2 linked regions of the Arabidopsis thaliana genome follow. The protein of the gene in region 1 interacts with the protein of each later gene in a pairwise test. Each region holds a gene or a part of one and is shown in the gene's direction. Other genes may lie near its edges.

Evidence for each region.
Region 2: the proteins of AT1G34640 (region 1) and PIN4 interact in a protein complementation assay, tested with the Arabidopsis thaliana proteins (one large-scale study listed by BioGRID).

What each region holds. Positions count from the first base shown.
Region 1 is NC_003070.9:12,684,942-12,691,965, reverse strand, and holds AT1G34640 (peptidase), read left to right. Parts: upstream 1-3,422; 5' UTR 3,423-3,538; coding exon 3,539-3,780; intron 3,781-4,169; coding exon 4,170-4,260; 3' UTR 4,261-4,414; downstream 4,415-7,024. Other genes in the region: AT1G34630 (uncharacterized protein), read right to left, coding at 4,531-4,827, 4,898-4,964, 5,058-5,138, 5,223-5,359, 5,485-5,692, 5,808-6,035, 6,150-6,290, 6,363-6,649.
Region 2 is NC_003071.7:177,688-187,472, reverse strand, and holds PIN4 (Auxin efflux carrier family protein), read left to right. Parts: upstream 1-3,708; 5' UTR 3,709-4,273; coding exon 4,274-5,468; intron 5,469-5,625; coding exon 5,626-5,893; intron 5,894-6,032; coding exon 6,033-6,118; coding exon of another isoform or gene 6,119-6,129; exon of another isoform or gene 6,130-6,495; coding exon 6,496-6,653; intron 6,654-6,747; coding exon 6,748-6,824; intron 6,825-6,928; coding exon 6,929-6,995; 3' UTR 6,996-7,440; downstream 7,441-9,785. UniProt on the Arabidopsis thaliana protein: Acts as a component of the auxin efflux carrier. Plays a role in generating a sink for auxin into columella cells. Maintains the endogenous auxin gradient, which is essential for correct root patterning.

The sequences.
Region 1 (7,024 bases):
TTTTAGTAAAAATATGGATTATTAGTAAAATGCACATTATCTTTAAAAAAATATTATCTTATCAAAAAATACAAACGTTTTAGGAAAATATACATATCAAATAGAAAAATAGCATGAATTATTCAAAAATTACATGCTATCGTTTGAATTGAGACACACGGATCATTGTAATTTTAGTAAAGAACAAGTATTATTTAAAAGAAACTTTGAAAAATACAATGTTTTAGAATAAAAATACATGTCAACAAAAGTAAACGGCGGTGGTGATGAATAGGGAAGAGGCGGTGGTGTTATGGATATGATGGTGGTGAATACGGAGGCGGTAGTATTTACAGATCTAGTAATACTAAATACGGAGGAGGCGGTGGTGTTACGGATCTAGTGGTGGTTATTGTTGTAAGGGATGAGGAGGTTATGGAAGCTTTAGTGGTAAAACTATTTGCCTATAAAGCTATTTGTCCCTTCAACCAAAACTCTATTATAGGGATATGAGAGTAATTTAAAGTTGGTTTCCGACAGGTACTATACGCCCATGGTTAGTTTCTATAATATTATGAATTTCATAGTCATCTAGTGCATATACCCTTAATTATATTTATTAATTAATTTAAGAATTAAAAATCATGCATTAATTCTTTCTTGCATACAAATTGACATGTTTTAACTTATTAATTGAATAAATTTATTTTAATTAAGTACAAAGTATATCAAACTTGTATATAAATTAAATTATTTAAATTTAGTTGTATAAGTCGTATAAACTTATGCATAAATAATATGATATAAGAATTTATTTCATGGTTTTATATAGTATAATATATATAGGATTAGTGACAATAAATATTAGTTGAATTTATGGTTTATTTATATAAGATACTAAATTGACACTAGTTTAATTTCGTTTATTTTAAAAATACTTTAAAGACAACAATTGTTTTAAAGGTAAGTAATTGTAAATAAGGTTTATTAATGTAATTAAAAACATTAAAAAATAGAATGAATTATTTACTTGAGAGTTAGAGAAATACATTAAAATGATAATTCGATAAAATACAAAATATGTTTTACCAAATTAATTCAATCGATGTTATTTGTTATAACTAACAAATTATATGAATATACTCATACCTTGTGCAGGTGTTGGCTTAGTATTTTAAATTCACAACCATCGATGTTTATAACGAGCTAATGTATAACACATATAGCTTTAAATCTAGAGTATAATAAAAAATAAATTTTAATGGAAATATAGTAATAATAAATAAAAGATACTAAATTTCAAATATTCAATGGTTCCGTAGAATAATGTTTTTTAATTACTTGATAAATTATTTATACAAAATTAATTAGGTGATAGTTCCTCAGTATTCCTCAAAAATTAAAAGCCACCCAATATATTTTTGTAAAACATTATGCATTACTAAATAAAATTTTATTTTTTAATTAAAAAGATATAATGAGAATCAAAATTTCTTCTTCTCATCTTTGTTTGTTTCTTTGGTCATTTTTAAGAGCTAAATCATCTTATCATTTGTATTTAAATTGTTTTTTCTGCATATATGATTCGAATTTATCAAAAACAAAATGTTGAAGATGCATCCAAAATAATTGAGAAGGGATTAAGTGATATTATTACCCAGGTCTAGTCGACTTAAATGATTTTCAAAAAATATGATGATCTGTTGTTCTTACAAACTCAGATTCCTAGCTAGTGTAGAGCTTCCAGAGTTCTCATTGTGTCTTGTTTGTGTCTTTACGAGAGGTTTGGAACAAATTTCTTGATCTTATCGTTAGGTTTGATCCCACACGCGAAGCAATATAAAGATTGTGATTTTTAGTATTGTGCAAGAATTCACAAAACACATAAAAATATCTTGTGATGATCAACAAGACTAGTAAACAAGTCTATCAACCTTACATGTAGAAGTGCACTGGTCGAATAACGAGGATGAGATTTGTAGGTCAAAACTGTAATTGATGGTAAATAAACATTGGCGATCATGATGTTATAAGGGGTATCAAAACCAAACTTAATTGAGTGTTTAGCAATGTGGCATCACAGTACCATTGGGGGAATCAGTATTATATTTTACTTTGTTACTGAGAAAATATTCAAATATTGGTTAGTAGATATAGACTAAAATAGTTACCGAGGAATAGATATTATTAAGATGTGACCACACTTTCTCATGAACTTTTGTAGCAAGTTCATAGAAAAACATGTGTAAAAGAAACATGGTGTTGCTATTTAGCCGCATATATATGAGGGCTTAATCTCGTCGCTATTTAACAATAGAAATAGTCGACGTCATTTGTTTCTACCAAGGGACTTAAACTTGTCCTTTGTCAATGCGTAGTTTTGTGGCTTCGGATTTTAAAAAATTGTTTCTGAATTTATATAGATCTAACAACCTTTGTAAGATTAATGCTTTAGATACTAATATACTATCAATGAAAAAGAGTATTTACTTTGTTTTCACATTTATAGGAAAAAATTAGAAATCTTCATTTACAAAACGACATTCGTAGTTTGAGGTTATTACTTTTTGGCGAAAAGAAAAGAAAAGTTTGAGGTTATTACTAACGATGCCAACTATCAAAACAAAATTTATGTTAGTAACCAATTATGTGGGTGTTTGGTTGAGTAGTAACTTTCCTTTTTACTGTTGTTCGGCAGTAGCTATAAACTTTTTGTTGTATGATTACATGTGTTGGTTGTAGATGTAGAGTTTGATTGGTAAAGTTAATTAAATATTGAGGATTCAAAATTTAAGTTTATCAATTTAAAATTATAACATAATATTAAATGAGATAACAAATAAATAATAAATAGTAAATTTCATATGTATAACACATTGTTTGGTCAATTTTATAATTTTTTTTACCTCAAAAATATGATAAGATTTTTTTGTTGTCTTATGTTTAAAGTACAACGTACTCATATAATCTTATGCTTGTGAAAGTTAAAAATAATTTCTGTCCCGCTTGATGATTATGTCATTTTATTCTACAAATTTTTTTTGGCAACCGATATTAATTAGAATTCAAAGAGTTAATCCGAGAGATATTGTTTATATATATGGTATGATGCAATTCGGTATAATTCTTTCATACCAAATTATCCGTTTTTACATTTACACTACAAAAAATTAAAAATAAAGAAAAGTTTGTGAATTCCTTCTTGTCATTCCAAAATTTATCTTTTTTTTCCTAATTTTTCGGTATAATTCTAATTACTCTATGATCAAAACCATAAATAAAGATAAAACTGAACAAACACAAAAACTTGGATCCAAAAATACGGTTGGGACATTACCACATTTATGGCGGCATTCAATTCAATTGATTGCCACGCATTTTTCCAAAAGAATATACCCTATATAAAAAAATCCATTAAATATTATCTTTAACACATAAATGAAATCTTTCTCCTACATCCTACATAATCTGTGAATCTTCTTTCCATGTTTACACTGTTATAAAGCAACTTCAACTAATCCCGTTTTAAATATAAGCTATCTACTCTCTCTTAGCCATAATGGGAAACGAAGCAGCACTAAGATCATCAATGGTAGGTCTTGCAGTGGTGATGGTAGTTGTATGGTTATGGACACAGTCTTTAAAGAAGACGGTTGTTACTTACGCCGTCGGTATTTCTCTTATTGGCGGCATACTTTTGCCGGATTGGGACTTCTTTGATCGGAGTTTCTCTCGGTGGGGCTATCCTGTCACCGCCGAGGAAAGATCAGCCGCTCTCGCCCGCAAATCTCATCCTTCAAGGTTACTTGTTTATCTTATCTCAATATCAAACTAGTTGTTTTATCATATCATTATATATTAATCTTTGAATTATTAGATCTAAATTTTGGTTTAGCTTTATTGCCTTAAAACCTATTGGATAAACATAAATCATACATACAATTTTTTTTTTGTCAACCGATATTAATTTGGATTCAAAAGAGCGAATCTCAAACCATACATACAATGTTAGGTTCCATTTGCAATGTATGTATTATTGTATATCTACGAATTAGGTGTACAAGTTATGATTGAATTTGTTTATTTTCGTGAATATTTTCTATTGATTTTAATTGTTAGATCCAAATTTTGGTTTGGTTTACTGGCCTAATTAATGGATAATGGATACATCTTTGGACCAAGTAATGCAGGTTTAGAGTGTACCCTATGAGGATGGTTTTATACGGCACGGTCTATGGATATGCAGTGTATAGGTGGTGGATGTTCGTATCAAATTATTGAAGCCATATTGTATTTACTTGGTCCATCTTTTTTATGGTTTAGTGTTGTTGATTAACAAAATATTTAGCTTCGTTTTATTTTAACTTTGTAGAACATGTAAGACTACCAGATTACATATTGGTGTGTCCACATAAGATGGACAAAAATTGTCAAATGGATTGTGGTATACAAAATTGACCCAAAACAAAACTCCTAGAGACTCTAAATGAGCATTCTACCACCAAATTCTGTCCCACATCAGAAAGATCTTTAGGTTAAAAGTGAATGTCTCTAGGTTGTTTCGCAAGAAGGAGCAGGAGGGGGAGGAGGAACACCGAAGACCCAATCTAGTACGTTCAAGTATTTTGATCGAAATACGTCTCTTTCTTGTGCGTAACAATGCATTATAATGGCTGTCGAAACGCTGAACACAACCACATCCGCTCTTCTTAAACTCTTGGGCGGTCGAATGTATCCTGCCTCTGTCATGCAAGTAAAGAAGCTCTCTATCGCCCTCGCTAAGCAGTATAGTGATATCTCTATCCTTCTGCTTTTCTTCTCAATAGCTAAAGCCAGACCTGTTGGGAACTGCAGGAGAAGCCTAACGTTAGGTATTATATTAACAATGATATGTGATGAGAATGGCTTTCGTTTGTACTGTTGCTATGGCCACAAGCGGTATGTTGCATGTCTCAAAAGTGCGGAATAGTAGACAAGTCCAAGCCCTATTTTACATCATTATAGAGATGGTCTAAGTTCCAACTTCAAGTGAGAACAAAACAAAAATCGATAAGAGCCTTCCAAGAATTGATTCTAACCAGGCAGAAGAGCAGTAAGTAGCGAGAAACAAACTTGATCTCGCTGTGCCCAGAAGACCCTTGCCAAGTATAGAGTATTGCCTGTGATGAAACATATTATGAGGTGATGAATAAAATCAGAGGATATATACCATTCAATGAGCAGTTTAGACATAAACCTATTACTTTTTTAGCAGGTCTTGACGATGGACTATTAGCGCTGGAATCAAATACACAGGGACATAGACAGGTAACGCCCTCTTGTAAGCTTGAAGGAAAAATGTAACACCATGCTTAACACATGACTCATTTCCATGTATTATCTGCAAGTAACAACATAAGTATTGCGTAAAACCATGCATGCAGACTCATTGACGATACATCAACTATCGACAAATGCTTTGTTCGTCTTAACAACCCAAAAAAGATAGTATCATAGAAAACTTACCGTACAGGGGACTTTCATGGTAGGATCCAGTTTGATATCAACTCCAACAGACTTGTAATATTTCTCAATCGCTCTTAAATTAGTGAACGGTTGCGCGGTTGCGATATCTTTTACGCCTTGTAAGATTGAAAGATCCTTCCCACCTTGTTTGTTAAGGAAAGACTTGTACGATGAAGGAAGGCTTTCTTGTTTCAAAATGTAAGCAGACCTGAAAAAAAAACACAAAATCGCTAATCTAAGAATCTAATAACAACCAAGAACCTAGTAACAACTAGCTGAACCACAAAATTTAATATCTTTGTAGAGAGAAAGAGAAAGCATACAAAATCTGTGAGGAAGAGAGACACATGAGGAATAAATCTCCATGTTTCCAAGTAAGTGGCTTGCAAATGGTACCAAAGCGTTTACTTTTAATACCGCAACGCGATGCGAGAACCGCAGCACGCATCAATATATAAACAGCCAAACTCGTATGTTGCGTATTTGGCCCTGTGAGAAGCATAGATGGTCCAGCCACCAATCCAGCAAACAGGGCCCTCCATTTTGCAGTTCTGGATTCAGATTAAATTACTTCACAGTGATCAAATCTGAAGAAATTGATACTTCACTATTTTTGGGTTTAAATCACAAAATAAAAGTTACAAGATTAGTGGGGACAAACATGCCTCTTGTCTCCTGCTAAAGCAGCAATAGCTTCATCTACAGAAACAAAAGTCCCAGCAAAAGTTCCTAAGAACAATCCATATCTTAACGTCTCCTTAATCCCCATAGCGATAGCTTCACTATTCGAAAACTCTCCGGTTTTCCTAAACCGACTACGATTAGATTTCAGATCAGATGAGCTAAACCGGAAAATTTGAAAAATCGATTTCGGTTACCTAGATTGAGGAGAAGATCTACGACGACGAGCGAAACGAGCGACGATTGAGAAAATAGCTAAACCACCTTTTAAACCAGTACCTATAGTGAATCCTTTGACGGAAGCGACGATGATTCTTCGAAGCTTATCCGAATCATTCACCGATTTTGATTTCGATTTCGAATCGGAGTTTTTGCATTGTTTGCATGTAAACTCATCCGATTTACCGAAATCGTTGCCATCGTTGTCGCTGGAGATGCATGATGAGCAACGAGAACCGTTCGTCGATTCGTCGGACGGCGACATGACGACGGCGGCGGCGAGAATCTTCGGATTGCGCCAAAGTGATGCTTTGGTGGGAAATTGGGAATTGGCTTTTGAATAAAATAGAAAGAAGAAAGAGAGAACCAGAAAAAGGAAGTTAGGGAGAGTGACGAAGACAGCGAAATTTTTAGATTTACAGGGCCACTAAGAATTATCCAGTTGTCAAGGAGTGACTGACACGTGTCGGTTATTTTTTTTTTTTCCTTTGTGAATCTTTTGATTCTTCTGCTTTGGGAACCGTAATGATTTGTAGTATGGGTTTGTGGAAGGCCATGGGCTTATTTTATGGGCTTGATAACAGACAGGATAATATTAAAAATTTGGAACGTTACAAAAAGAATACGAATATTAAAAGAG
Region 2 (9,785 bases), on another chromosome or scaffold:
TAGGATGGGACTCCAGCTTTTTGGAGTTGTGGAAATCACGCGAATTTCTGAGTTTCTCTGAATTGGTGTTTCTTCTTTCGTTTTCGCTATAAACATTCGTTCTCCTCTTTTACTGTTTTGTTATCATCTTTTTTTTATAGATTTTGATCTTTTTCCTTTTCTTGTGTTTCTTGTAATTTCTGTCACAATTTCAAAAATGGTATAAATACTTTACATTTTACCAAAAAATGTAGGGAGTGCTACATTGTATATAAACTAATTTTTAACTAATTAAATTCTAAATGACATATGTTGATTTTTGGGGAAAAAAGAAAACTTGTGTTCTTTGAAGACAAATTATAGTTGCATTAATGTTGTGATCTAAGTCATAAGAACGCGAAACACTGTAGCCGTTAAATTTAGTGGCCCATCATAACTTGGGCCTTCGACTAGTTCAGTGGTTTGGTACCTCTTAGTTAAATTCGGTTCGGTCCGGTACCAAATAAATTTGGCCGAGGCCTAAAACTAGTTTGTGTTTATTTCGAGACACCAGACTTGATCAAGACATCAGACATACCCCTCTAGCTCATTGGTTTGTTAAACCATCAAGCGTCTGCTTAGGGAATAATAAGGACGCTTTAGCTCTTTTGAGTTTTGAGAAAATCACAGCTGTGATCTTTTCTTTTGCATGGGACCAGAATCCAGATCATCGTGTCTTACCATAAGATTTGATCCATTGCGAGATATTACATGTAACGAACGAACATGCATATGTTTATTATTATAAGCATATATATATATGAAAAGAGCATTGATCTTGTAGGTACGCCAAACTCGATACGTTTCTATCTAAGGGTCTATAATTCTATTTATATCATCGTAATCTTGATACTATAATATGTGTTTGAATGCTAGTTTATTTGTAGTTAATGTAACAAACAAAAAAAACGATTAATGGTGAGTGTGACTCGTGCTCTCGTTTCTTCAGTCTTCGCCATGTGATTAGGTGTGTGTTAGAAAATATGTCGTTAATTATAACAAATATACCCCCTCGTCCGAAAATACTCAAATCTCCTAAACAATATCCCATGATTATTGATTGGTCGTATCAACTATCAAGTAGTGTTAGGTCAAACTCTATTTGTCTAGAAAATAAATATATGGATCAGACATGATTGGGTTGGACATATAATTGAAGTGTCTTATGCGGGCGGAATAATAATAATATGATCTTGGACGGGAAATGATATACAGTACTCAAGTGCTTAATCCATGATCCTTTGAATTTGAGCAAGTTTATCTACATCACAGGTCTGGTAGATAAAGATGTGAATGATATTCTTACGACTATATATTTTGGTTACCAAGCAATAATCATTGTTACAATAACACATATATATTGTGGAGAGAAACAAAACTATAATTTGTTATTACCAATTCATTCGGATGCCATACTTCTTCAGTCGGCTACGATGTAAGTTTGATTTTATCGAAAATGTTGAGATCAATGATCACGGGTCAAGACGGCTTGCAGGGAGCTCGAAGACAAGTTGAACGTTGCCTTCGGAGATAGTGAAGCCGATCAAAAACCGTTTTTCAATAGTTACAATATCATTGAACTGATCTCCACATTCTCACTTTTCTATGTTTCCTGGTTTGTAAGATTTTTGAACGATCATTTTAATTTGCTTCCATTGTATATTTAAAGACCAAAGTCTTGATGGATGATGAAGTAGACTTGAAAATTGATGAAACCCGTTATTGTGTTGTTGTGTTACAAATCCCATCTATGATCGTTGATCTCATAGATGATCATTGATCATTTTTCTCATTTTTCTATGATGAAGTAGACTTTTTCCGGAAGGCTTATGAGAAAAAAATACTATTCTTGTTTTGTAAACATATGTGTTCAATAAAGAATCTATTTTCATTTGCAATCATTCGGATTAATTAAAGTGATTGCTGGATGAATGTTTTGAATCTCTTTTTACCATTTCGCTACAAAAATAAAAAAATTGCGAATTTCGCATCCAGATATATACTAGTATTAAGCATGGGAGATTATTCACTCCTCGAACACATCCTATGACTATGAGTTACACAAATCAAAATTTTTACATTCCAACGTTGATGATCCTTTGGATTTGGTATTTTTCCATGTCATACTATTGTAACTTTGTTTGTAATTTCTTTCTGGTCAATATTACTCTATTGTGGATGCAAGATCGCATAACTAGTCCTCCATCGAATCAAACATGATCACAATTTTAAGAATCAAACTGGACTTTTATATACCGAAATAAAGTTACAAAGATTTCGCTGAGATGTTCTTACTTCTTAGAGCTAGATGAGTAAGTAATATTAGGGATTTTCTAGTGTACAATTGATGCCTCTATACATTACTCTCCATCAGATTTATAGGACTTGACCTCGTCTGCTTCTCTGATATTTCCCAGAAATCTCGCTCCTTTTAGTTTCTGCTTGAATCTATCAAATCCTAGTGATTTTGCGACCACCTACTTCTTTATTCTTTCCTTTTTGTTGGTTATGTCCAAACTGATTTAAGAGTATCCACATTGGTTATTTTTATGAGTGTTTTTAGATGGCTATTTTTAAATATAAAAGAGTAAAACAAATAAAAAATATGAGGGTCATTAAAATGAAAATTATATCTTCCTAAAACATTTAAGACATCTATACCTTTAATATTATTTTATATGAAATACATCTATGAAAAATTATTCGATGAGGATGGTCTAATGAGTCGGAGAGTCTCAGACCAACATCTATCTATAACTATTTTTTTTTTCACTGGAAATATAGATTTCATTGATAGAAGATCTGAGTACAAGAGCTGACAAGAGAAACACTCTTCTAAAAGCCGGAGAGTACATGGGACCTTCCAGGAACTAAAAACATATTTAAATGAAACAAAGGGGAAAAAAACCGATCTAACAAATTACATCACATCTGATCAAGTACTTCCCAGACCCAAAATCCAAGAGTTCAAACGAAATATACAAAGTCTAAAACAACAATGATAAACTGATAGATCTGAGACTAGAAGCCTCACTTAACTCAACCTAAACACGAATGGGCGATGAGATAAAACCATCATCCAGAGACCCAAAGGAGTGAGAGCCTCATGAAGGAGAGAACGAGATCGGGATCTTCAGGTGGAATTTCAGAAGTCTGAGGCGAAAATTTGGATAGAAACGCTTCTGCCTTGGATGGATCGGCCAGATCTGACTCTGTTCTTGAAAAAGACAAAAGACAAACAGCAAAAACCTAAAAAGAAAAAGTTTTAGACTTTAAATATCTAGATCTGAAAATTCAGATTCACAACCGTTGGAAAAAAATCTCTCAGATGTGTCTAAAGAAAAAAGATAGAATAAGAGCAAAACAAAAGACTTCGGTTCCGGTGCTGAGAAAGCCACCGGAACCGGTAACCCTAAACGCAGGCGGCGGCTGAAGTTTTAGAGATAAGGGAGAGTAAAATTTTAAGAGTGAGAAAATGACGAGATGTGAGCTTGTAAATACTTTTTGTAATATAAGTAACTATAAGTAATATTTTTTTTGTAATACCTCAAATTTTATTTTTAATGATATTTACAAGTTTAACAAAACAAAAACAAAAAACAAAATATTATTCTAGTCATAGCAAGTGAGAATTTTTGAAAAGGGAATAAATGTGTGTAATTAATTCAACGGTCCAACAGTGGCTTGGACCTAACACTAATGACATTTGTTCTTCTTGTAATTTTTATGTGGCTGTCTTCTTGTACCAAGTACGTAGACAATAGTTTGATTCTATTTGGAATCAAAACTCAAATTACATTTACAAGAAAAACGATCACAGATACAGTAATTCGTAGTATTCGCCAAAGTTCCTTTTGCAACTTTCAAAAAGTGCAAAAACAAGACCACTTTTTCGTAATAAGATAGTAGCAAAAAAGCACGACTATTCCATAAAACTGTCCACGTCCCTCCAGAAAACTCCCCCCACATGCGATTTGCCACGTGTCCCCACTCAACTACACACAAAGCCATTTTAAATCAAATTATTAATCAAACTTAAAAAACGTAATCGTGTGCTGATGATGATGATGACACTGTCACTGCCTCAAAAACCTCTATAAATTAGTCCTCTTCACCGAATCCTTGTAAATCATTACTGTACTTTTCTCTCTTAACGGTTTCTTTATTATTCTTCCCATTCTACCCCTCTTCTTCCTTCTAATTCCCCCTCAAATGCCACTGTCTTCTCACTAAACTCCAAAACCCACCGGAAAAAATGATTACGTGGCACGACTTGTACACCGTCCTCACCGCCGTGGTACCACTTTACGTAGCTATGATTCTCGCCTACGGATCCGTACAGTGGTGGAAGATATTCTCACCAGACCAGTGCTCCGGCATCAACCGCTTCGTCGCTATCTTCGCCGTCCCTCTCCTCTCCTTCCACTTCATCTCCACCAACGATCCTTACGCCATGAATTTCCGCTTCGTCGCCGCCGACACGCTTCAAAAAATCATCATGCTCGTCTTACTTGCTCTATGGGCTAACCTAACCAAGAACGGTAGCTTGGAGTGGATGATCACAATCTTCTCTCTCAGCACTCTCCCAAACACTCTTGTCATGGGGATCCCTCTGTTGATCGCCATGTACGGAACCTACGCAGGTTCTCTAATGGTCCAAGTCGTTGTTCTTCAGTGTATCATTTGGTACACTCTCCTTCTCTTCCTCTTCGAGTACCGTGGCGCTAAGCTTCTTATTATGGAGCAGTTCCCGGAGACTGGTGCGTCTATTGTTTCGTTTAAAGTTGAATCCGACGTCGTTTCTCTCGACGGTCATGATTTTCTTGAGACGGATGCTGAGATAGGAAACGACGGGAAGCTTCATGTTACCGTGAGGAAATCAAACGCATCGAGACGGTCACTGATGATGACTCCACGGCCTTCGAATCTTACCGGAGCTGAGATCTATAGTCTTAGTTCGACTCCGAGAGGTTCTAACTTTAACCATTCTGATTTTTACTCTGTTATGGGGTTTCCCGGCGGGAGGCTTTCGAATTTTGGTCCGGCGGATTTGTACTCCGTTCAATCTTCTCGTGGTCCGACTCCACGGCCTTCGAACTTCGAAGAGAACAACGCCGTTAAATATGGATTTTACAATAACACTAACAGTTCTGTTCCGGCGGCCGGTTCGTACCCGGCTCCGAACCCGGAGTTTTCAACCGGTACGGGTGTTTCAACTAAACCGAATAAAATTCCTAAAGAAAACCAACAGCAACTGCAAGAGAAAGATAGCAAAGCGAGCCATGACGCTAAGGAGCTTCACATGTTTGTTTGGAGCTCAAGCGCTTCTCCGGTCTCCGACGTGTTTGGCGGAGGTGCAGGCGACAACGTGGCAACGGAACAATCTGAACAAGGTGCTAAGGAGATTCGGATGGTTGTCTCTGATCAACCTCGAAAGAGTAATGCTAGAGGTTCTTTTTTTTTTTTTTTTTTGTCATCAAATATTATTTAGCTAAAATTGCGGAAAATTGTTTACATAAATAATATGCTAGAGGTTTGTTGGTTTAATTTTATTATTATTCGAATACTATTATTTTTGTATGTATTCATGATTTTTGGTTTTCTCAGGTGGTGGTGATGATATCGGCGGTCTTGATAGTGGAGAGGGAGAAAGAGAGATAGAGAAAGCTACAGCAGGGCTGAATAAAATGGGGTCTAATTCCACGGCGGAGCTAGAGGCGGCTGGTGGAGATGGCGGCGGCAACAACGGAACACATATGCCGCCGACAAGTGTGATGACACGACTGATATTGATAATGGTGTGGAGAAAGCTGATCAGAAACCCAAACACGTACTCCAGTCTAATCGGTCTCATATGGGCTCTTGTTGCTTACCGGTCAGTGAGTCCAATCATTTTCTTACTTACAGATTTTATGGATAAATGTTATAATAAGAAAAGGAAATAATATAATCATCTATGCATGGAATAATTGTAGTGGGAACTAATAATGAGTATGGGTTGTTTTTGGAAGCAGGTGGCATGTGGCTATGCCCAAAATATTACAACAATCCATCTCCATACTCTCAGATGCTGGTCTTGGAATGGCTATGTTCAGCTTAGGTAAACACTAACCTTGCTTCATGCAAATCTAGACTTGTTTTGATGATGATCTAATCTTTAAAGTTGGGTTCAAATTTGTTCTCATCTTATCTGTTAAAAAAGATTCATTTAATGCAAAGTGGGTCTGTGTGTTTAATTAGTCGTAGTTGTCCAGCTTGTAATTGGTAAAAGTCATATAAACTGTACAAAGCACTTACCCAAAGAGAGAATCCTGACCCTCTGACCCAGACATGTTGGTGTGTCCGGTCCCCACGCCGAGTCCCCACTGGCTCTGTCTACTTATTTGGGTCTCACCAAGTAGATGACCTAACTCTTTGCTGTCAATTTTCTCAAATCCTTTTAGTTAATGAATTGCTTATTTTTGGTGTAATTTTAAGGTTTATTCATGGCACTTCAACCCAAAATCATTGCTTGTGGGAACTCTGTCGCCACGTTTGCCATGGCGGTCAGATTTATAACCGGTCCGGCCATCATGGCTGTTGCTGGGATTGCCATTGGCTTACACGGCGACCTTCTCCGTATAGCCATCGTTCAGGTATACAAATTTATAACGTTACATGATATAGCTAGGTCTATTATAAATATTACATGATCACGATGATGATGTTGATGAATGCATGAATTATTAGGCTGCGTTGCCTCAAGGAATAGTTCCGTTTGTGTTTGCAAAAGAGTACAATGTGCATCCCACGATTCTAAGCACTGGGTAAGTTCCAAACTTATTTTATGTTACAGCCACATTTTTATTTTTGTTACAAACTTACAATATATTAACAAATGTGTGAATGATGGTGAAAAATATGGATGCAGGGTCATATTTGGAATGTTAATAGCCTTACCTATAACTCTGGTCTACTATATTCTTCTTGGCCTTTGAATTGGTCCCTTCAGTATCAACTGGCTTTTGAGAGAGCCTCGGAGATTGGGCTATTTATTTCTCGGTAACGAGGAAATAAGCAAAGCCTTTATTTTTCGTGGGAAAGAGTGGAAGGTGAAGAAGAAGATATGCCTTTGGTTTTTGGTTCCAATATTTGTGGAACACAACAAAAGTACTTAGGATTTAGTGAACAAGACTTGAATGGATTAAGGATCTTGTCTTCATTAGACGCCAAGAAGAAAAAATCTCTCTTCCTTACCTTTATTTTTTCATTTTCTGTTTTTGTTAATTTATGTGTAGATTTTGGCTAAGCAGATATGTAATATGCACCTTTTTTTATTAATTGAAGTTTCTAGTTAAGTGGTTTATACTGAAACTAGCTTATGAGTTGGATTGAAATAGTCCTATACTATATATATACACCCTCGTACTGATTTATTTTTTCCACAAATACCATTAATATTAATTCATCGGGAAGAGATTCTCCGCTAGAGAGAGCCATTCATGAACCATTATGCTTACATAGGAGAAAATATTATTTCTACCCCGAGCTTTTTTAGCTAAACAATCAGTTCGAGTGTTAAAACTACGAGAAAAAAATCTAATACGGAAAGAAAGGAAAAAACAAACTAAGGAGCGATAGGATGCCAATTCCGCTGCGAATGTCGGTCAATCGTCTTGATTGTCAATGATAGAAATCAGGTCTGAACAGTCAGAAGCAAAAGTTTCAAAAGACAGTAATTTTATTTTATTACAGTTAATTTAAGCATATTCCTTGATAACAAACACTGTTTTACGACAGAAGCAAAATCCTAATCTCTAATTAATTAATCCTATGATCATACGATGCATGTTTACGGTCCCGTTTTTTTAAGAATACACGATCTCTAGCAGAAAAAAATCTCAAAAAGTTTATGTTAACTTCAAATTCTGTGAACTTCCGCACATGAATCTAAAGACCACCCTTTATAGAAAAAATGGTCCCGAGACTATCAAACGTAGTCTTTATAATGTCAAAGTAGTGTGAATCTCATTTTTCAAACATTTTTAATGTTATGAATTGATCATCTGATTTTCGTATTAGGATTGGTCATTCAAATACGGTATGATTACTCATCCAACAAGTAGTAATTTAACGAGGCATCAATATACTATATAGAAAACAAAGCAAATATTCCGAAACTAACATCAAAACTAATGGGAGAGTGGATGTGAAGAAAATTCAATGGAATGCAAAATCTAAGATGGACCAACATGCAGGCTTCGCCCGAAAGCGACGACGCATTTCACTTGACGACAAAAGTTGCCATATTATATCTTTTGCAAGTAAAACTTGTTGTGTTACTCGTTTACACACATGCCCCGATATTCTTATTCTTATCTATATGCCCATAGAAGTTGTGAGTTCTTTTATTTTGGGAAATTCTAAAGGATTCGTTTTGAACTATACATTTTTAAACCTATAGAGTTCAAACTTTTATGGAAAAAGAAAAACTTCCCACGTGTGTTTCGAACATCAAAATTCGAGCATCAAAGTATTATAACAACATGGACCACATTTTCGATTATATCAACATGTATATCTTCGTGGAACTAATCAACAGTCAAAATGTTGAGTTTATCATATTTTCGTGGAACTAATCAACAGTCAAAATATTGTGTTTATCATATTCCCACATAGTATCGATAATATCACCAAAAAGTTTTTTTCATTCCTTCAAAACTGAACAACTTCGATCATGCATTCACTTTGAAAGTAGCAGCTGGCTATTCCTTTAACTGATTTAATTGTGACTATAAATCGTTAACTCTTAGTTACTGTTTCGATAAATTTACTAATCAAATCAAGAATATTTTACCCATAGACGTCACGTTTCACTCAGAATTACTTAGACCATTCTCAATGACTAACTCTATTTTAGAGGAAATATAGTTGATTTTGCTCCATTGTAATTCTCTAAAATAGAGAAAAATATATCTACATTTTTCCTCTATTTTAGAGGCATACAATACAGCAAAATCAACTATATTTTCTCTAAAATAAAATCAACTCAAAAATAGAGGAAAAAATAGAGTTGAGCATTGGAGATGCTCTTAGTGTTTAGAGCTAGTGCCATCGACGAATCTGAACTTTCTGAACTTTCATATTTTCAAAAATTCATATTTGAGGTTAGAGTGGATACTAATAGGAATCATAACTATCAACAAATTTCCATACTTCCGGGGTTGTATGTCTACTTTGTTGTAGTATCTAATAATATGACTCTTTAATCTGTGAGATGAAATGCTTTGAATTAATGGATTGAAACAAAATCAAAAAGCACAATCGATAAAGATATAAATCGAATAAAACAATAAAGATGAATTAATGGGGGTATTGAGAGAGAAAGGTGATGGGCAATGTATGAGGAACCACGAACACTGGTCTAGTCGTAGGGTCGTTCTCCTTACATTTAGATGCAAAGGTCCAAATTGCATAACATGCATAAGATTCACATCTCACGTACGTATCTATCATTTCCAATTTAATGTCTTATGGATAACAAATCCATGCGTGTGTATACAAACTACAAAACACCAAGTACTAAAGCCTTATATGTCTCGTGTGGTGGCCATAACATCGTCTAGTATATAGAACTTTTGTTTGTTTTAATTTATCATTCTAATGCACATACGTATAATGTTAACTGATGAACTTATGTCGTTCAAGTTAGATGAGTTTGATTTGTAAATAAGGGAAAAAAGAAGCAAACTTAGGTGCATACGTTTTTATTGTTTAGTAGAATATTT